Arabidopsis thaliana: one gene and its partners. The protein of the gene in region 2 binds, or shares a complex with, the protein of the main gene of each other region. Each region holds a gene or a part of one and is shown on either strand. Other genes may lie near its edges.

What was found.
Region 1: TAF13 (region 2) and TAF4B share a complex: the UniProt entries of both Arabidopsis thaliana proteins name them as parts of the TFIID complex.
Region 3: TAF13 (region 2) and TAF15 share a complex: the UniProt entries of both Arabidopsis thaliana proteins name them as parts of the TFIID complex.
Region 4: TAF13 (region 2) and TAF11 share a complex: the UniProt entries of both Arabidopsis thaliana proteins name them as parts of the TFIID complex.

What each region holds. Positions count from the first base shown.
Region 1 is NC_003070.9:9,642,801-9,649,197, forward strand, and holds TAF4B (TBP-associated factor 4B), read right to left. Parts: upstream 4,577-6,397; coding exon 4,535-4,576; intron 4,525-4,534; exon of another isoform or gene 4,416-4,524; coding exon 4,349-4,415; exon of another isoform or gene 4,079-4,348; coding exon 3,846-4,078; intron 3,756-3,845; coding exon 3,654-3,755; intron 3,402-3,653; coding exon 3,341-3,401; intron 3,211-3,340; coding exon 2,504-3,210; intron 2,278-2,503; coding exon 2,153-2,277; intron 2,001-2,152; coding exon 1,913-2,000; intron 1,828-1,912; coding exon 1,689-1,827; intron 1,597-1,688; coding exon 1,541-1,596; intron 1,455-1,540; coding exon 1,398-1,454; intron 1,319-1,397; coding exon 1,196-1,318; intron 1,107-1,195; coding exon 1,056-1,106; coding exon of another isoform or gene 1,041-1,055; exon of another isoform or gene 972-1,040; coding exon 812-971; intron 703-811; coding exon 551-702; downstream 1-550. Other genes in the region: AT1G27710 (Glycine-rich protein family), read left to right, coding at 1-388; STZ (salt tolerance zinc finger), read right to left, coding at 5,502-6,185. UniProt on the Arabidopsis thaliana protein: TAFs are components of the transcription factor IID (TFIID) complex that is essential for mediating regulation of RNA polymerase transcription.
Region 2 is NC_003070.9:578,703-582,833, reverse strand, and holds TAF13 (TBP-associated factor 13), read right to left. Parts: upstream 2,210-4,131; 5' UTR 2,089-2,209; intron 1,765-2,088; 5' UTR 1,751-1,764; coding exon 1,648-1,750; intron 1,557-1,647; coding exon 1,519-1,556; intron 1,338-1,518; coding exon 1,278-1,337; intron 1,191-1,277; coding exon 1,116-1,190; intron 1,020-1,115; coding exon 915-1,019; 3' UTR 524-914; downstream 1-523. Other genes in the region: AT1G02670 (P-loop containing nucleoside triphosphate hydrolases superfamily protein), read right to left, coding at 2,535-2,607, 2,704-2,784, 2,867-2,955, 3,035-3,187, 3,309-3,413, 3,522-3,638, 3,817-3,939, 4,043-4,112. UniProt on the Arabidopsis thaliana protein: TAFs are components of the transcription factor IID (TFIID) complex that is essential for mediating regulation of RNA polymerase transcription. May be involved in polycomb repressive complex 2 (PRC2) mediated repression.
Region 3 is NC_003070.9:18,628,016-18,633,962, forward strand, and holds TAF15 (TBP-associated factor 15), read right to left. Parts: upstream 4,025-5,947; 5' UTR 3,864-4,024; intron 3,686-3,863; 5' UTR 3,648-3,685; coding exon 3,543-3,647; exon of another isoform or gene 3,527-3,542; intron 3,433-3,526; coding exon 3,104-3,432; intron 2,988-3,103; coding exon 2,790-2,987; intron 2,195-2,789; coding exon 2,111-2,194; intron 1,735-2,110; coding exon 1,653-1,734; intron 1,540-1,652; coding exon 1,416-1,539; intron 1,000-1,415; coding exon 803-999; 3' UTR 540-802; downstream 1-539. Other genes in the region: AT1G50290 (uncharacterized protein), read right to left, coding at 1-247. UniProt on the Arabidopsis thaliana protein: TAFs are components of the transcription factor IID (TFIID) complex that is essential for mediating regulation of RNA polymerase transcription.
Region 4 is NC_003075.7:10,951,745-10,955,623, reverse strand, and holds TAF11 (TBP-associated factor 11), read right to left. Parts: upstream 2,085-3,879; 5' UTR 1,924-2,084; intron 1,846-1,923; 5' UTR 1,833-1,845; coding exon 1,516-1,832; intron 1,446-1,515; coding exon 1,358-1,445; intron 1,270-1,357; coding exon 1,170-1,269; intron 1,088-1,169; coding exon 960-1,087; 3' UTR 548-959; downstream 1-547. Other genes in the region: AT4G20290 (uncharacterized protein), read left to right, coding at 40-465; BAM3 (Leucine-rich receptor-like protein kinase family protein), read right to left, coding at 2,700-3,028, 3,153-3,879. UniProt on the Arabidopsis thaliana protein: TAFs are components of the transcription factor IID (TFIID) complex that is essential for mediating regulation of RNA polymerase transcription.

The DNA of each region.
Region 1 (6,397 bases), 9.1 Mb from region 2:
CTCCAGTGAGATTGGAAAGAGTATCCGACACGTAACCGGATTTAAGGGTGAACTCACAGCTGGTGGCTACGGCGGTGGAGGCCCGGGATATGGTGGTGGTGGATACGGTCCAGGTGGCGGCGGTGGTGGTGTTGTAATCGGTGGTGGATTTGGTGGAGGTGCCGGGTATGGTTCAGGTGGTGGTTTGGGTTGGGATGGAGGCAACGGAGGTGGTGGTCCAGGATACGGGTCAGGTGGAGGAGGTATTGGTGGTGGAGGAGGTATTGGTGGTGGAGTCATCATTGGCGGTGGTGGTGGAGGATGCGGAGGTTCATGCAGCGGAGGCGGTGGTGGTGGAGGAGGATATGGACACGGCGGAGTCAGCACGAAGGGATCAGGCAAAAACTAGAAAAAACATGCAGCTTGCTTTAGGTAGTGAAAGGAAGAAGAAATAAGGATGTACTTTAGCATCTTGATCATGTTTAGGAGTTTGTAATGGCATTAGTTTTAATGGAATAAGAACCTTTCTACAAAAAAAAATAAAGAATTGGTCCTATGTCTTTTCTTGGTTTCAAACATCCGAGCAGATTCTATTGTATACGCGATACAATAGCGTCGATCTTGACATCTGAGGCTCCTTTTCCACCACAGCGATCACATCCTTCACAGAGATTGACCGGACTACTTTTGGTAAACCTTGGTTCTTCCCAAATTGTGTACCACCTACATAAAGTTCGAATATGCAATTAGGAGCACGAAACACAAGAATAACCAGCAACAGAACTGAGAGATTTACTCTTTCAGATCATAGAAACGGGATTACCAATCTTACCAGAAAGTTTCTTGGAGTTTCTTCCTGGCCCTGGAGAAGATCTCTGACGTGCTTCAGCCATAAGTTTCCATTTTGAAAACCTATCATCTCCTCCAACGGCTGCACGAACAGCAACATTTGCAGCCTTGGCTCTCTCTTTATCTTCGTCCTTCTTATTTGCCTGACTTGTGATCAATAAACCTCTTTCAGTGTACGTATGTGTATATCTCCAAAGGTTTAGGTAGTTGGCTCAAGTTCTAAATACCTTCACTTCGTTTGAACGTTGGTCTTCTTTTTCAGTATCATTTTCTTTGTTCTACATCAATGAATATACAAAAAAAAAAAACTAGACATTACTACTGATAACTAAGACAAATAGATATTAAGCTCAGGACAAACCATTACCTTTTCTTCTCCAGAATGTTTCTTTTCCCATTCCTCTTTCACCTTCTGATTCATTTCATTAATTTCTTTCCGGATATCAGATGTGATAAAAGTCCGATTTCTACACTTCTCTGCATCAGTCCGCTGCAAAAGCTCTTGTAACTTCAGAAAGATTTAGGTACAACAAGATCTAAGGAGGCATGAGAAGAGAAAGTAGACTGACCTGCTTTGATATTCGTATTATATTAAACAGTAGTCCTCGCATCCTCTCCTCCACACACTGAATGCGCAAAGCCATGAGAAAAACGAAAACAAAAACAGGAAATTGAAGGCTAATAATTCCAAGAAAAGGTGTTAACATCTCACCAGAGACAAGCACCGCTCTACATCATGGTCTATATGCTTTAAACCACTTTTTCCCACTGTCATATATGAAAGCATACATAAACTTCTTCTCCAAGTGATTCCAAGTAAGGACCAAAGAAGCAGCTAAGATACGAGTTGAAACACAAACTAATTTCTGTCAGCTTTCTCTGCAGTGGAATTTTCTGCAAAAGCGTTCTTTCTTCCTCTCCATGCACAAGTCTTCGATATGCTTTAGAAACACGATCGTTCTTTTTAGGACCAGAATCTAATAATTGTTTTTCCTCTTCCTAGAACAGATGCAGAAAGTAATTTGGTTTATTGTTTCTCTATATCCAGGTTCAAAATGAGAAGTGTAGCAACTCGTAAACATACCCTGAGATTGATGCCACTGACTGCAGTGACATCATTAAACTTTTCAATACTTTCATCTGAAGAAGTCCCACATATTTTTTGCTTCTTTCTGTATATTAAAAAATACATAAGACTTCAATTTAGCAATTCTAAATTGTTAGTAAGGTAAAAAGGATATTATCAGAAAAGCAAAGAAAAAAGGAAGAGTAATTTATGGACGCTGTAAGTAGTTCATCTTTCACAAACCAGCCAGCTCATTACCTTGATGGTGGCAGCGAAGAACCTAGTGCCTCAAGAGGTTTCTTCTGACCAACAGAAGGCATTTTGGGTGTCACCGTAACATTAGCAATCTTGGGAATGGTCTCAGATGGGGCAGGCATATTAACCTGAAGTGTACACAAATAATTTTCACGTAAGATAGATAGTCCATTTACTCTTCACAACCAAAGTTCGAAGCCAGTACAAGGAGAAATAGAAGCCAGGGTGGTCCAAAATATAAGCAAAACGAAACCAAATGCAACATCGGTTGAAGAGAAATGGTCCCCCTATGAGCTTAAAGAGAAGATCAACCAAATTGAAATCTGTCTTTTGAAAGTATAATTTATAAGTTACCATCGTGCTAGAGTCCAGCTGTGTTGTCATTGAAGGAAAAACAGAGCTGGCAGAAGTGGTTGATGTGAATAAACCCATTTTAGAAGACTGCTTCTCCAAGTCATCATTTGAACTAATTGGAATAGCATTCTTCTGTTTCAGTGGAACATTAGTCACGCCTTGCTGCACCAAATAACGAGGTTTATGTGCCTGTTCAAAACTTTGATCAATCAATTTATGCTCCACATGGATCACTGATGAAGAAGGTCCCACTGTATGGTCCTTGGTGACTGATCCTTGCCAAGGAGCAGAATATAGAGGAAAGGATGAGTTCTTTGGGAAGTCGGATATAGGACCATCCTGAACCCTACTTGGACCATTTACAAAAGTTGGCCTCTCAAACTTGGGTACTGTCGTCATGTTTATTGTAGACTTGGTTGGTCCTCCAACACTGGCTATTCCCACATTCTGATTGTTTTCCCTATGCTGGAAATCAGGGAGCTTTGCTCTCGATGATGAACCAGGAGAAGTGACATTTGTCCCTGGGTATGGATTAAGACTTCCAGATTTGGTATCCATATGAAAAGAACTTGATGGAAGCTGCATGTGTTGCTCGGGATGCTTATTTAATCCCTGCACAGTAGTTGAACTGTTTAAGGTGCCTGAAGTTGTAGAAGACAGTTGGTTAACATGAACTTCACGAGGATCAGATTCTTGAGCAGTGAATTCTGCAGTTAATGATTGTATCTGGGATTAGTTTTGTATGCTACAAGGAAATCATAAGATAAGATCTACCAGAAAGTTAAGATGATCTATGATAATTGCAAAAGTAAATGGCATCAACTAAATAAGTTATACCAGCAGATTTAGACACTTTGTCATGGTTTGAGCGTCCAGGTACTTTGATCCCCATATTTCCCTGGTTACACATACAGTTCATTCTGAAACCAGTAAGCCACAATTCCAAGACAAGAAGTATTCAGCTTATACTATTAAAGTGAGAATTCTTTATGTTATTTCCTTTTTAATAAGGTTCAGAAGTGAGATTTCTTTCTCAGCACATGTTCATATACAGAGAAGGAAGCATATAAAACAAGAAACTCTCTTGGAGGCTGCTAAATGAAAATCATTAAAGTACTTATAAATGCTAAGAAAATGGAAAGGGTAATACCGGTTTTAACTGAGGCAGTTGGCTAATTACCGATCTGATTATCTGATCACCTACAAGATCTCTCAGTTGTCGCATGAACTCTTCCATTGTAAGTTCTTTTCTCTGCAATCAAGTATGAAAAGAAACGTAATGTATTAAGAAACTTCGATCAGAGTGCCAATTCATTCATGGATGTAAACTGTAAAGCCACACCTTGAGTTTATAATGCAGGTTAAGACAATGCGTCTTTTTGCCGGGTTGGTGGTCTACCACGGTACGAAGCAAATCAGTAACTCGTGCTAATCTAAGATTATGATTCACAGGGTCAACAGTCTTTTCCACCCAAGGAGTCTCTTTGCTACTCATCTTCTGCAGTTTCATATACCGAGGTTGCGGTTTTTCTGATTCATTACCAGTAGTATTGTTTATAGACTTCAAGTTACTTCCTTGGGGCACATGAGTTCAAGCACCAAAATCAATTATGAGTATGCTCTAATATTTTTCTATGACTAACCGTCACTAAAGCATCATCAAGAACTAACAATCTAATTGCATCCATCAACATTCAACAGTTAACATCAAGTGAAACATGAAGATACATGACAAACCACAAAAATACGACTCGTGAACCTAAATCACTAAAGAAATCTAAAGGCATTTCCCTGTTTTGATACATTCCACAGTTTCGCATATGAATTTTAGGGTCCAAAACGAACCTTCAATATCTCGAATCAGAGAGTCCTGAAACATTTGCAAGTCATCTTCCGAATGCTTAGAGTCAACCTAACGACACGATTAGCGGGAATCGACATTTAGGAGCTTCGTCCACAGAACAAGATAGCGCGTGGATTTTCGCAGACAGTACGGAAATGAAAATGAGAGTGGGAAATTCGAAACCTAACCTCTTCGTCTTCTTCGAGGAGCTTGACAATGGAGAGATCCATGGAGGAATCTCGCGGTACCAAACGTCAATAGCTCAAAACGAAGAGGGAATTTTCAAGGAAACGATTTGTTGTATCCAATAAGATTCCAAATTCCGCAAGTTTTTATATAAAGGGAGATTCTGCGAGAACACCGTGTCGTTTTTTCTTTTTGATAAAACACTGCGCGCCGTTCTGTTGATCTTCTTTTCGGTAGTTGTTTCTTTTGGATAAAACACTGCGCGCCGTTCTGTTCTTCTTTTCGGTAACTGGGCTTGTTCTTGTATATCAAAATTTATTTTTCTTGAATATAATGTTGGAGTTCTTAAACAGTTATTCATATTAGCATCAGACTTTTGCAAAAAAAAATTAATTAACTTTTAGATGAATTTTGATACACGTTTATGACCATTGAGTTTTGGACTTCCCGTAGATAATTCACCAAATTAAAGAAGGGATTATCTACGTTAATTAAACAGTGCTACTAAAGAAAACAAACGACCCGTCAAGAAAGGCTTTTTTCAATTGAAAGTTACGGTATTCTTTTGGTAAAAGAAAAATGAAAGTTGAGTTTTCTTTGGCAGTCTTCCGTAAGATATCACAACTCTTTTTATTTGCTTAGAGCTTTCCAAAATATAAGAAAGAACAATATGTGGATGGTAGTAGAAACTAGAACGTTCTTGATTATGCTTAATTGTGTTATAAATTTTTTGAAAAAAACAGAACCAAAAACAGAGTTGTAGTGGTGTCACTTTATGCTTATTCAGATAAAAAAAAGACTCAACGCGTTTGTAAAATATGTGGTAAAGAATCGGTTTAATAATTTTTAAAATGAAAGAACAAGAAGAATTGGAATCAGTCAAAGTCCAATTTGGTATGTACAGTCAACAAATTCCTACACAACTCTCAACAGTATACAAACGAAATCTTATCGTCTAAGTAAATTTCCTTAAAGTTGAAGTTTGACCGGAAAGTCAAACCGAGGCTTCTTCGCCGGCATAGGGCTCATGACTTCGTCGTCTCCGTTGACCATCGAGAATTCAGGGATCGGAGGGATGTTGAGGTCAAACCCACGGTGGCTACTGCTAACGTGGCTAGTGGACCCCGCACCTTCGGAGTTGGACACGCTACTAGTGTTGATGTTGTTGTTTCCTTCGTAGTGGCACCGCTTGTGTCCGCCGAGAGCTTGACCGGAAGGAAAAGACTTGTTACAGATGGTGCAAACGTGTGATTTCCCACTTCCAGTAGTCACGGCGGATGTGGTTGTCGCCGACGAGGTTGAATGATCATCTCCTCCGCCGGAGAGAGTCTGTGATAAGTTCTTACGGTGGCTTGCCTTGTGACCACCGAGAGCTTGGTAAGAAGAGAACGTCTTGTCGCAGACGCTACACTTGTAGCTCAACTTCTCCACCGCCGGAGGAGGAGGAGGCTGACGGTTGTCGCGAGCGAGAAGCATGAGGCAAAAAGCTAGATACTCTTCCTCAGTGAGGTTTTGGTGGTGGAAATCGGATCTTGATCTCTTAGATCGCTTACCCTTTGTCCAGTGCTCGACTCCATGGAAGACTGAAGAATCTTCGAACAAAGGAGGAATCGGAGAAGCTAATCTTGGTGATGTAAGAGCCTCGAGCGCCATTAAGTTAAAGATTCTGAGGATTTCTTGTCTCTCGAGTTTTAGTTTGAAGGTTGCTTGTGAATTGCAGTGAAGAAATTGTTTAATTGCTGAAGAAGAAGTAATGAAAGTGTGTGTAAATATATAGTAGTAGGTGGAGTGTGGAGAAGGAAGTTGCGTGACAAGTGGTAGGAAAGTGTGAAGAGTGAAGGTGGCGATTAGATAATTACTATATT
Region 2 (4,131 bases):
CCTTCCACATCACTATAACATTCATCTTCTTCCTCATCAATATCATCATCATATAAGGACATGGCTGATCCATATCCCGAGATTCCTGATGATGATGAAGATGAAGCCGCCGTGAAAACCTCCATAGTCTCTGATAAACGACCCTCGGAATCATCATCATCTTCATTATCATTATCACCATCGTCTCCTCCCATTTCTGTCGCTGGCAGAGGAGGAGGAGCCGGAGGGAGAACAATTGTGTTAGTAAAAGTTGACGATGGCATTATCGTAATTTCGAAACGGAGTTTACGTACGGACTTAACGACTCGCCGCCAGAACCTGGTGTTGAAGGGTTTTCTCCCCGGCGGCGACGAAGCATGAACATGACGACGGAGAACATGTGCATCCCACGTGATGACTTTTTCTTCTTCATGCTCGTGTTGTTTATTTGCTCTATCTCTAATTGATCACAATGATTTTCTTTAGTTGGTAATTGATCACCATTCTTATTTATTGTTTCCATGGTAAAATAATGAATCAAAATATCAGAAAGATGACGAAAAATTTAGAGAAAAACAAAAGTCTTATAATGATGACTAATTTTATAATTATTGCGGTAATTAATTTAATGAAAGAAACAAAAATCGGGTGGTTATTCTAAATTTTTAGGGTTTCGAAATTCCTGACTCAAGAAAAATTAAAGGTCGTCCGTAGATATATACGGGATGCTAGATAATGGGCTTTCTTCTAATGGGCCTACATTTAATATGAGTCGGCCTTGTGCAAGATTTTTTTTCACCTTTTTTAAGTCAACACACTTTTTTTTTGCTACTGTGCTTCGAATTCTGATTACAACCTAAAACGCTGTCCCTAGTCCGGCATCCATGAGGTTCCTCTTACCTAGCATTTGTTCCTCCCGTTGAGGAAAAGCAAGATCAATCAACGAGTTCCTTTTCGTCGACATCAAAAGCTTTGCGTGCTTGTTTCAGCTCTTCCTGCATCGCCAACAGTTCTCTACAGCGGTTCAGTTTTGGCAAATCCTGCATAAATCAAAGACGCCAAAGTTTCGGATATAGAATACAAAACCATAAACCATCTCAATCATCGATTGTGTACTTTTTAAAAAGAATTTTTACCTTGCGGATAAGATACAAGAAATCATCAACTAGAAGTCTTCCTCGCTTTGAACCAATTTCTTGAGCTTTATGTGTCTGCCATTGAAACATCACTTGTTAGCTAATATCTCTCCGCTTGTAATGTAAAACATGAATCATTCACAAAAAGAAAAAGCTCACTACCAAATCTGTGACGTATTCCACAACAATGTCTTCTACAAGCGCCACAGACTCTGGAAGAGGCTAAATACAGAGGAGTTTTGGATCAGTTTCAGGTGGTAAAACACTAAAAGATGTTACACGACCAAGAACCCTTTAAAGCAAAGATTCTCTACCTAATTCGTTACTTGTATTGGAATGAAACTATATCTACAAATACGGTTCATATGGCAACAAAATAGTAATGAAGAGGATAGCGGCTTACGTTTTGCTCGTCGCCAAATCCATACATCATATGCTGCACTGAAAAATCAACAAAAGCACCAAAACCATTGTTACCAGAAGAATCACAAAATGAAGAATACAAAAATCTGGTTTTAACTAAAGACTTTACATTCTTTTTGAAAGAGAGTTTTGCGCTTTTCCTGTGGCTGAGAAGTTCCCGCAGCTTTCGATTTAGACGATGATGACGCCGCCGCTGCTGGTGTGTTACTCATCTCTTCTTCTTCTTCTGATAATCAAAATCCAGGAGAGCAAAATAATAGAAAAATAAGTGAAATTCCTCTACCGACAAAATCCAATTGAGTCAAATACTAACCCTAGGTGAAAATTTTCAAAAAAGAAAAAACAGTGTAATCTCAACTAGAAAATGAAATTCCGAGCCTATATTCTAGATTTCTACCGCAATCAAAACCAGAGAGCTACCGGAAAGTTGTATTCCGGTACAGTACAACAACCAACGGAGTTAAATCGAATAAGGTTCTTTATCCAAATATTTGTCGTCATGGAAAAGGAATGAAAATTGAAAAGGGAATAGTGAGAGCAGAGAGCTCACCGTAGATTGATCGACGGGAGTAGCAGAGGTGGTCGTTGCAAAATCGGCGATGAAGATGATGAGAACGAAGAAACGGGGACTTGTTCACTGATCTCTCTCTCTCTCGTAGAAGAAGCACATTGCATTACATACGAAGTAATTGGGCTTAATAAATAGGCCCATTTATATTAAACCAGCCCATAATCTAAACCAGAAACCCGTACACTAGTCGACCGACATTGTAACTAAGTTCTCACGGTATGGCTCAAACCGGCCATGGCCTCATGCTCAATATTCTTCGGGAGAAGGAAAAGTTTGTGATCCGATTCATATACAATCTATCCGGTGCTCATCATATTACACAAGTATGTATCAAATCTTTTAGCTTGAGCCTAATTTTGTCCTGTCAAGACTCTTTTTTCTATCTATACAAATTTTCTATCATGTTCTTCATCTACAAGATTTGGTTATGCGAACAGGGACTTGATATCGTCTTCTCCCAGCTTTTGTACAACGGCCTCTTCAGAGTCACCTAACGTACTGTAACAAAGCAAATATGTCTTCATATAGGCTTCATACAGTTGACAATAAGAAACCAGCAAAGTTGAGAGAAGCGTATCGTTTAAAATAAGAAACCTTTCAAACAAATCTTCCTTCTTCTTTTGAAGCGTTAGTATCTTTTCCTCTACTGTTTTCTCCATTATGAATCTTACAACCCTGTCACACAACCAAATGTTTCTTCTTTCTTCCCCCACCAAAACAACATACAGTATATTGAAGGACAACTCAAAAATATAACCTGACAGGCTTGCACTGTCCGATCCTATGTATTCTGTCCTGTGCTTGCCTCTCAACCGCTGGGTTCCACCACGGGTCCATCATGAACACCTATACAATCAAACACCCGAATGTCAGTGAATAAAACATGTTCTAGGAGCAACTGTTTTATAAGTTGTACACTTCTTACATGCGAAGCGGCTGTTAGATTTAGAGCAACCCCTCCAGCTTGCAAGCTCATTAATAAAACTCTGCAATCTGGCTCTTCTTTAAAATTTTTGAGTGCAGCATCTTTAGCTGCCTTGGACATGCTTCCCACCAGTTGAACACAGCTAACCCCAGACTGCGTTGTACAAAATGAGTCAATCATTTTTATTCAATGTCTCATTATGATTAAAGAGAATGTTAAAGGAGCACAGATATAGTAGTAGTAGCATTTTGTAGTTGGTTGCGCTTGAAATTACCTTCCCCAAGGCGTAACTTATCAGGTCCAAGAATGATGTGAACTGGCTGAATACTATTGCTTTGGCAGACCAATCTCTTTCAACCATGAACCTGATTTCTTCTCTCTGCATACAAATTTTTTTTATCACCAAATGGTTAGATAAAGCCTCCAATCTCCAAAGAAACTTTAAGCGTGGGAGAGACAGAAGCTGTAGATCTCAAAGGGCACATACCAAAGCCTCAATCTTTGTACTTGTTTTAAAATCATCGAGGTTTATCCGATTTAAAATGCTAGAGGCTCTAAATCCTTTAAGCTTTGTCTTGCTTGCCTGATGTTCACTAGAAGTCACCTTCAAAGTAAGAGAACCAAAGACATATTAACCGAACAAGTTAAGTCCAACATTAGTCATCCGATGATTCTTTAAGAAAGTGTAAAATGGTGGCAGCTATTTCCAGAAGATACAGTTACTGAGAAACAAGAGTCGAGATAGTATGAAATAGCAACAATATATCGACTGGAACACTTACAAAGTAGTCCTTGGAAGGGTCATGGCCGAAACCACATTCTTTCTCATTTTTGTTCGCATCAAGCAAGTTAGCGTTAGCGCCACTAGGACTAGAATAACTCACCAGGTATGGATGATCAACAGCCTGAAAAAATTGCAAGAAAATGCATCAGAAATCTATATACCTATATCATCCAAAACATGCACTGGCTTGTAAATAGAACAACAAAACTATCGATACCACTCACTTGTCTCAGTCGGATAAGAAGACCAAATATATGTGCATAGTTATTCATCAATGTCCCAGCCTGAATATACCTGCAGAAACAAATGTACA
Region 3 (5,947 bases), about 18 Mb from region 2:
CAAACTTTCTAAAGATACAAATCCGAAAACTTAATCTTAGGCTATTATGACCTAAAATTAATCTCCAATTGAAATCTTTAGAAATTATTGAAAGAAAAACTGAAAAAGAAACTAAAGCAATCGGTAAGAACAACCGATCGAACGGCGGAGGAAGGATAAAAGCCGGCCAAAACCGCTTGTAAAAGCCGGATTTGCCAGAAGAGGACCGGCCATCTTTGCTAACAAAGCCAAAATTAATCTCCTTCATATCTTTTAGAGAGAGGAACTGTTGAATTCTGTCGACCGGATTATTCTGGTAAACTGCCGTCCCAAGTTTTGCCGACCATGTTTATGACAATGATATGACATTAATATATATCCCCACAAATAAGCTTAATTTTTTCTTATCCTATTATAGTTTCAGAAACTATATTGTCCACAAAAATCTTCTTGTTCTATTTTTTTTATTCCCATTAAAATCATACAGCGATGAAATGATTGGCGATGGAAAAAAAAACAAAGGGACAACTAAAAATAATACTACAAAAGACAAAATAATACTTAATACACGTCTAAATTAGCAATTGACGTCGCTAACCATGTTTTGCCATAATTACCAATTTTCGAAACGATAAACATGGAGTATTCTCAGAACATAATCAGACCAAAACAAGTGAAAAACAATAGCCATTGATTCAAACCAAAATGAGTTTCACTTCACACAATAAGTAAACAAAAGGCGAAGACATTGTAATGATACCGTTGTAAAAGTAAGTCGACAAAACAGATGAGAAACTAAACCCTAACACTTATGAGTAATCTCTCAGTTACGGTACCTGCTTCCACGTTCGCGACCGTAGTCTCTGTCTCTGTCCCGATCATGGTCATAGTCATAGTCACGCTCCTTGCCTCTTTCCCTCTCTCGGCTTCTGCTTCTGCGTCTATCCTTATCGTAGTGATGATCTCTACCACGGTCTCTTTGCCTGTCTCTGCTTCTCTCTCTTCCATCTTTATCAATACCTGCCACATTCATATAAATTATGAACAACTACATTGGATCATGACCTTTCTATTTTTGGGGAAGCAGCAATAAACATTCTTTTCTATCTTCCTCTATATCTATTCAGTGAAAAGAAGAAAACTCTAACAAGGAACAACACTGTTTATTGGAGATCCCCACTAGGCTTGGGCTATAGGCAAGTTAGCTGCAAGCTTAATGTAAAATTTCAAACAAATCCCTCCCCGCATATATGTTAAGTTTCACTCAAGTGTCTAGATGACAAGCAGAAACTTTCTTTGAAGACTATACACAGAGAGTAGATATAGATCGAGCCAAATAAATCTCTATTATAGTGGAAAGGTTCTGTTCATAAGCTCAACCTATTTGATGATTGCATAGATTTAGTTCATATTAGTTAAAATTAAACAGAACTTACCTAGTTCCTCGACTTCCCACCCAGCACGACCAGCAGCAACAGCAGGTCTGGTGTCAGCTTGGTTTGTTTTAACACGGTACTTCTTCTTTAGATTCCCAAACTCATCATACATTTCACCATCATCCTGAAATATATTAGACGTATAAGTCAAATGGAATATACAAAAAACTGAGAGCTCATCCGAATTGCAACAAAAAAACAAAAAACAAAGAACTCTTCAGGAAAAGCATATCTTACTTCTTCAGCCTCACGCCTGCGTCTCTTCGTTTCCTCTAATTCTTGTTCATCTAATTCCTTGTAACCACCACCACGGCCTCCCCTATTTAGAGAAAAAAAAATGAATAAGCACTGGTCTAGATAAAAACAACCTTCCAAACTCAAACCTTAATGTTTCTTAATGCAACTCTAATTTGGCCAAAATAAAACATTACAAGTGGGATAAATCAATTGTCGAAGAAAACAAGCACTCGTTCAAATTGCAGAAGAGAGTATTGAGACTTTTTCCCAGGTATCTATTAGGCCCTGTCTAAAAGCAGAATAAATATACCCTGCTGACAACAAAACTACAAACATCGAACAGAAAATCTACGACCTCTCCTACATTCACTGTAAAATCATTTATAATCCAAATCCTCAGCTCGAACATTGCAAGATAACAATACAAAGGCAATCTTATCACTGGCTTTGAGTCATACCTCACACCACCTTCATTCTGACCAGGTTTATTGGTGTTGCAGATATTACATTTTAGACGTTTCGCCCAGTTGACATTGCCACACCTGAAAGAATTAGCGCAAAAAGAAAAAGTGCATTATGCATAAGAACTCACATTCACACAGTGCAGCCTCTTAGTTAAGCTACTCGATGACACATAGCATAACTTGCAATTAAACTAAAACATAGTCCATTTTTTGTATCAGACACAGAAAATTGAAGGCAGCCTATCTTCACAAATATAACTTCTTAGAAGGATCAAGACTACAACCTACCCACGTTTCAAATTACATTTTTCAGATTAACAGCCATCTGAAGGAAAATTACGAAATTAGAATCAACATTCAAAAAAGAAGGAAAAAATATGTGCCTCCACACATAATTTGGACCAGTTTAAGAGACACAGCACAGCAGAGCGGGCCATCACTTCTTTCTAAGTAAAGAGTCAACTGACATCATCAAAAGCATTGATATACAAGCTATATTCCTTCCATACATAAGACAAATTAATTTTATATCCAGCAACGCTATATGCCATCTGAATGTTCTCTTTTGCTACTGAATATAAATTGTTTCTTGCGATGTGTTTTAATCAAGTACCAAACGCTCATTATCCTCTGAAACTGAACTAACTATTTCAAACCTAATCGGAATGCTTACATTGGACAAGCCCAATCATTTGGACCAAAGAGACCAGTAGGAGCACCACTGGGCTGCTTCCCCGGGGCCCCACCATCAGCGCCTCCACCTCGACCCCTTCCACGACCAGCACCCATGCTGCCACCAGATGCACCAGCTGGTCTAGCAGTTCCACAGCGGTTACAAACCCCACGGAATGCAAAATTCACATTTGTACAACTGCCAATGAAAGAGTATGAGAACACTACTGCTAGAAACTATAAAATATATAAAAACTAGCAAATTAACGGAAACAAGAGCTAGATGAAGCTCCTCACCGATATCACATCACAGACCTTGTATTAGGGCACATCCAGTCACCATCTTGCTGCCATGGCTTTGCCGAAGAATCAGCCTGACCCCTCCCCCTTCCAGCACCTCCATTTGTTTCCTCAGCACCTCCATCGAATTCAACAAACTCAACTGCATCACCAGCATTTTTATTCTTCGACTCGGCCATAAAAACTCCAATGGTGTTTCCATGAAAATCTTTGTTATTGAACCATTCAACAGCAGCCAAAGCAGCATGCGGATCCTCATAGGTAACAGTAGCATCTCCCTTGGGCTCATCAGTTTCTTTATCCCGGTACAGCCATACCTTAGGAGTACCAGTTCGTTTGTCTCTCTAAAAGCAATGTAGAAAAAAATGTAAGAAACTCGAAAATCTAGTGACCTATAAAAGATTGCAATGACGTCAAAACAAAAGCAACAATTAGTACCTGGCCAATACCATACCTTAAGCAACCCAATGGTCCCAAAATAGTCAGCCAACATATTCTCGTCAGTTCCTAAGGGGAGATTTGAAACGTAGACTGATCCATTAGTAGGATATCCAGCCATCGTAATCCAATTTCATCAAAAAGAAAGCCGCCAAGAATCTGTAAATGACAATACCAAAACTTCACTTAGCCAACATTGAAACCTCGCTAAGAAATAACATCGAGACATTGAAACCCCAAAGTTTTGAGCTCAAAAACCATGAGAACAAAAAGAAGATTCGAAATCTGACCAACGAGATAGGGAAACATAGAAGAGCGAGATAGATAGAAATCTGACCAGCGATGAGGATTCAGCGGCGAAGGAGAGGTCGTCGGACTAGGGTTTCTTTCTAAAGTGCGTCGAGTGAGAGAGAGAGAGAGAGATCTTGCGAATAAAGATTTTCTTAAGGGTAACCTCGATAGTCGATTGTTTGTTTGGTGGTTATATTTGCAATTTCATATAACTTTCCCCCTTAAATTGTAATTTTGTTTTTTTATTTTTTTCGTGGTTAAGGAATTCTTTTTTTGGGTGCAAATTGAGGAATTATTAATTTACAAATTAGATGAGTACCCGCACTACGTGCGGGTTTACGTATTACTATTTACTAATTGTTTTATATAATGTCTGTTTATATAAAGTAAAGTTGAATGCATAGGTTTTGAAACATAAATATGTTTTGTAATTGTTTTTGAAAAGTCCAACTATATTAGTTCATCTGAAAAACGAATGTGCTTGAGTTGTTTTTTATTGTTGTTTTAGATTCTTAGTTTTTTTTTGAATTTATATATCCTTGCTTTTTTAGTTATATGTATAGATTGTGAGACAGTGAAATTTTAGAAAAATTATTTCTTACACTAAAAATATAACATGTCTTTATTAATCATGTCTTTGCATATTCAATCTAAGCATATTCAACTCGATATTCTTAGAAAGTTTAGTTAAGTTCTTGTCATAATCTTATATCTTACGTATTAGTTATAAGGATAGCTCCTCAAATATCTTTCAAATTACCTGTTTTCTTAGCATAAATATCGAAAAGCTTAGATATATTTAATCTGCATATTCATTTAGTTTCTTTCATAATAATCGTCTAATTTTTAGGCCAGGAATATGTGTAACATGTTTGGATTTTATCATCACTTTAGCCACTTAAGTGGATCTCAAAATTAAAGAGGATATATTGAATTAAAAATGTAGAAAGAGTGATGGTTCAAGTTCTCATTAATTATATTCTCCTATTTTAGTTGTTATGTTGAATTAATTACTAATTATGTATTACTTATTTTATGAAGTCTAGGTGGCAAGCTCTCATGTGCTTATGTGTCAAGTTGTGGGAGAGAGTTAGTCTTCTTTCATATATATGATTTGTGTTTCAATGTTGAATCTATTTATAGCCAATAATATCTAATACTACTAATATTATACTACCAAAGTATTGGTCAATAAAAAAAAATACATTTGCATCTAACATATATTGACTAAATTAATAATTAAAAAAGTATTGACTCATACTACAGTAAAATATTTATATAATGCTATCTATTTTGTAAAGTTACTAGCATAAGCTTGTCATTTTTTAAAATCTGTCACTACTAATTTTACTATGACTAGGTAATCACCCGCGCTACGCTGCGGTATTTTTAAATTTTTTGTATCGTTTAATTTAAATATAATTTTTAATTATCTAATCATTTACTTATATAATAAGTAATTATTCTTAATATTAAAATATATTTTTTCTAACAACATTCTCAACAATGCATTATACACACAATTCCTAAACAATGTTCGTCTTAAACTAATTAAATAGAAGGTAATATTGGGATTCTCGAAACCTAAGAATTTGATGATTAAACTTCTTACATACTCTTCACCCTCGGCGATTTATTATATAGATATATAACAATATGCAAACTATTCAAACTATTAATTAATCCATGACTACTATACACTCATAATTTGAGTTAAGATTACAGAAAAAAATCTTTTGAGTATGAGAAAATCAATCAAATTATTTTATTGAAAAACATTTAATAACAAAATAAATTTAGTATTAGTACAATTAAATATGTAAAATTAAATAATAAATACATCATTAATCTATAAATTAAAAGTTGAAGAGCTTACATTAATTATTCAGTGGATACATGGCAAATGTTAAAGTGATGATGTGTCAATCATATGGAGAGAGTTGGCTAACTTTCATATATATAATTAGTAGATTAAAAACTCACTAAAGAATAGAACAAGTTTTCTTGTAATGAGTTTTCAGAGAAAAATCTTATTGCTGTAATTGACAAACCAGTGCAAATGGTTGACGTAATTGAAGAAATTAAAAGAGTTGAATAAACATTCAATCAATTTTTTACTATTTAAGTTGA
Region 4 (3,879 bases), on a different chromosome or scaffold from region 2:
ATCACCAGCGAATCAAAAGGATTATATTGAATAAAGAGAATGAAAAAAGAAGGGAAAAATATTTGTGTAGAGAGAAAAGAGAGAGGAGGAGAAGAGAAGAAACGGAGGCGCTCTGCGTTAAACAGTGAGGAGGATGAAGAAGAAGAAGAAGAAGAAGGAAGGCGGAAGGGAAGGAGAAAGATAGTGGGTGCGTTATTGTGTCAAAACTTCTTTTATTCTTTTTATTTTTCCAATCCAGTCCTTTTATTTTCTGTAGACTTTCAATTCGCAACCCACTTTGTTTTCTTCTCTTCACGTAATAGTTCGTTTCGAGATCGGCCCATTATCAGGCCCACTAGATCCTCTTTCGCCGGAACTTGTGTGATTCAAAACGTCTCCGTACCAATTTTGACAGTAGACCGAATTCTGATCGCGACGGTTTTCAATCACGCCGAAGAAATACACAATTTGAATTTGAACTTATAAACCCAGTTCTTGTAATGTTCGACCAAAAACGAATCAATACTAAAACCAATTTTTAGGTATAGCCAAATTTAACCAAATAAACCGGATTACAAATGATTTTATTTGATTTCGAATTCTATAAAACCGGAAATGAAACCGAATCCAACCTAGTAAACCGGATTGCCACTTTTAGGCCATGTGGTCTGTAGTCAAAGATTGATCTTGTATTGAAAATGAAAACTGGAAACGTAAACCAAATAAAAACCAAACCGTAAGACTGATAGCCATTTCAGGGTCTGTATCCAAAGATTGATTTACTACAAAAGTTGTCACACAAAGTTAAGAACATCAAAGAACAATATGATCCACCAGGGAAGCCAAAGAAGTTCTCCTTTATGATGAGATTGATAGGCAAATCTCGCCAGCTTAAACCTGCCGTAGACCCTTATCCTTGAGCAGCATTGGTAAATTCCCCAGTCTTAGGCTGATATAAGTTCTCTTTTGGCTCTTGTTGACTAGCGGAAAAGGCGTGGAACTGATCTTTTAGGCACTTTTCCTTCGAGCTTTAGTCTCCGATAAGACTCCCTGATATGACAAGGTCTGATAGGTCCTGATTCTTTCCTTTCCGCCATAACAACTCGAGCTACAGATAATGTATTGAGGTTCAGTAAATGAGCTTTGTTGGCACATAAACAAAATCATTGGAAATTTTTGCACTGGCTTACCTGTTTCAACGAGTTCACCAACGAACATCTTTGCAATACCACACGCAACAATAATCATTGGCATACCAATCTTCTGACTACCAGTGACACCTATCAATAACTGCATTAACATAAAAGCTAAATGGTTCATATTTGCAATGAAACAAAATTAAGAATGTTGATAACCACAAATCATATAACATATATACCTTCTTCATCTGTGGTCTTTGAAGTGCAGATCTCCTAAAAGATTCATATCTACTCATCTGATCCTCAGTGAATTGCGATAATATGGTTCTGAAGAATTCAACAAACAATCAATCATCAAAGAAACATGAAGAACAATCAAAATTCTACAAAGACTCACTGCATTTTGGCCATTTTAGCAGGATCAGAACTAGTTGGATATTTAGTAAGCTCAACATCCATATTCTCTTCCTCTTCTTCATCATCTTCATCTTTATCTTTGTTCTTAGCTTCAGTAACAACAACAGAGGTTTTAGCTTTCTTCATCGGACGGCGAACATCCACAGGTCTCTCATCTTCATCTTGAGTCTGGTCGATTTCAATTCGTCCGTCTTCACTACCATCACCTCCTCCTCCTCCGCCAACGGGTGATTCCGGTGGCGATTCCTCTTGCTCTTCCTCAATCGCTGCTTCAAACGGATCCTTTGAATGCTTCATTCCTGATTAAAACCTAAACGAAAAAATCACATAATTGAGATCTCAAATTAGGGTTTAGAACGAAGCAAATTGCTACGGATCATTGACGAACCTTGAAGGTGAAACTCAGATCGAATTTCAAGAGACACGAATCTCTAGACCGTTGTTAACAACAACTGGGAGCTCCACAATCTTCCAGGCGGAGAGGAAAATTCATCGACTGTGTTCAATTTCAAGCTTTTCTATAGGAGTGTAGCGACTGTTATAAGTCGGTTTAGTCCAATCAATTGGTGGATCAAAAGAAAAGATCTGAACCGGTTTTTGTTAAACCAACCCAAAAAGTTTCGAGAACCACATCATTGGATTTGGGCTGGGCTCAGTTCAAAACCACTGAATAACTAACTGGTTTTTTTTTTTGGAATACAATGTTGGGATAACGATTTACAACTAGCCAAATGTTATAAATCGAGCTAGACAACAAAATTAAAAATATCAATGATAGTGAATTGGATACTAAAAAGTAAAAACACTCAAATGCTAACTATTTCTATAGATATTGGATAATCATATGTTAAATCAAATGCTTGAGTGATTTCAACATTTTTCTTTGGTCATCATGATTTTTATAATTCCAAATGAATCAAAGAACAGTTATCTATTTTTTCAAATCTTTCACATAATTCATAATTTTCTAGCAAATGTTATTTAGTTTTGCTTGATACTTTATGATAGGAAGATATAATGCTAACCCTTTTTTTCCTCCTCAATTTCAATATAAACTCATATCACCACCAAACCATCATTACAAATTCTAAAAACAAAACTCTATGAAACACATAAAACAGAAAAATATATATTTAGTCTCTTATATATATAACATCACTGCATTTAGAAAGTATTAGGCTGTTTAGCCTGAGAGATCATCTGGACAACCTCTCTCATGGTCGGTCTCTCAACACTATGTTCTTGCACACATAGCATTGCCACAAAGAACAGTTCCATGGCCTCTGCTAATGGAATATTGCTCAATCTCTGGTCAATGATCTTCACCACACCTTGTCTGTTACAGTTTGTTTGGATCTTTGACCATTGCACAATGTCTATCCCTTCTTCCCCAAAATTATCTACTGGTTTTCGACCCGTAATCAGCTCCAATAACACTACTCCGAAGCTGTACACATCGCTCTTCTCGTCTATTCTCAGTGTATATGCATATTCTGCATTCAAGAAACGGATAAAATGGGCTAAGATCAATCATACGTTTTAACTAGAAGTACTGAAATCCTAAGTTTGAATGTTACGTGTGATACAAGAAAGTAGTATTAGGAATCAGTCATGTACCTGGAGCGATGTAGCCGTACGAGCCAGCGATCGAGGACATGCACTCGGAAGCTCCATTGTCTTGCATCATAAACTTAGCAAGCCCAAAATCAGCAACATGAGCTTCAAACTCAGGACCCAACAAGATGTTGTTTGACTTCACATCACGGTGGATTATAAGTGGCGAGCAATCATGGTGAAGATAACACAACCCCTTAGCCGCTTCCAACGCTATTTGCAACCGTGTTTCCCATTTCAAAAACACTCCAGCTTTCCCGTGCAAGACTTCTCCGAGGCTACCATTAGGCATATACTCGTAAACAAGGAGATTCACGTCTTTGTTTGAACAAAAAGCGAGCAATCTCACTATGTTTCTGTGTCTGATTCTACCTAATGTCTGAATCTCTGCGGCTAAACCGTTGTCATGAGATGATCCTTTGGTTATGGTTAAGAGCTTCTTGACTGCAACTTCTTCTCCGTTTGGCATTACCCCTTTGTAGACAATCCCTCGTCCGCCTTTCCCAATCACATGGTTCTCTTTAACACATTCTAATATGTGTTCGCTTCTGAAACCGAGCTTCTGAAACCCTATAAGCTTCCATAAATTCGGGTTGTTCTTTCTCATTCTCCTATTCTTGACCACAGCTAAAACGACGAACACCAAGAAAAACCCTAGTAGGCCTAACCCGAAGAACAACTTGAATTTTGCGGAGATTTCACCTCGGGATCTTGCGTTGTTCTGGTTAAG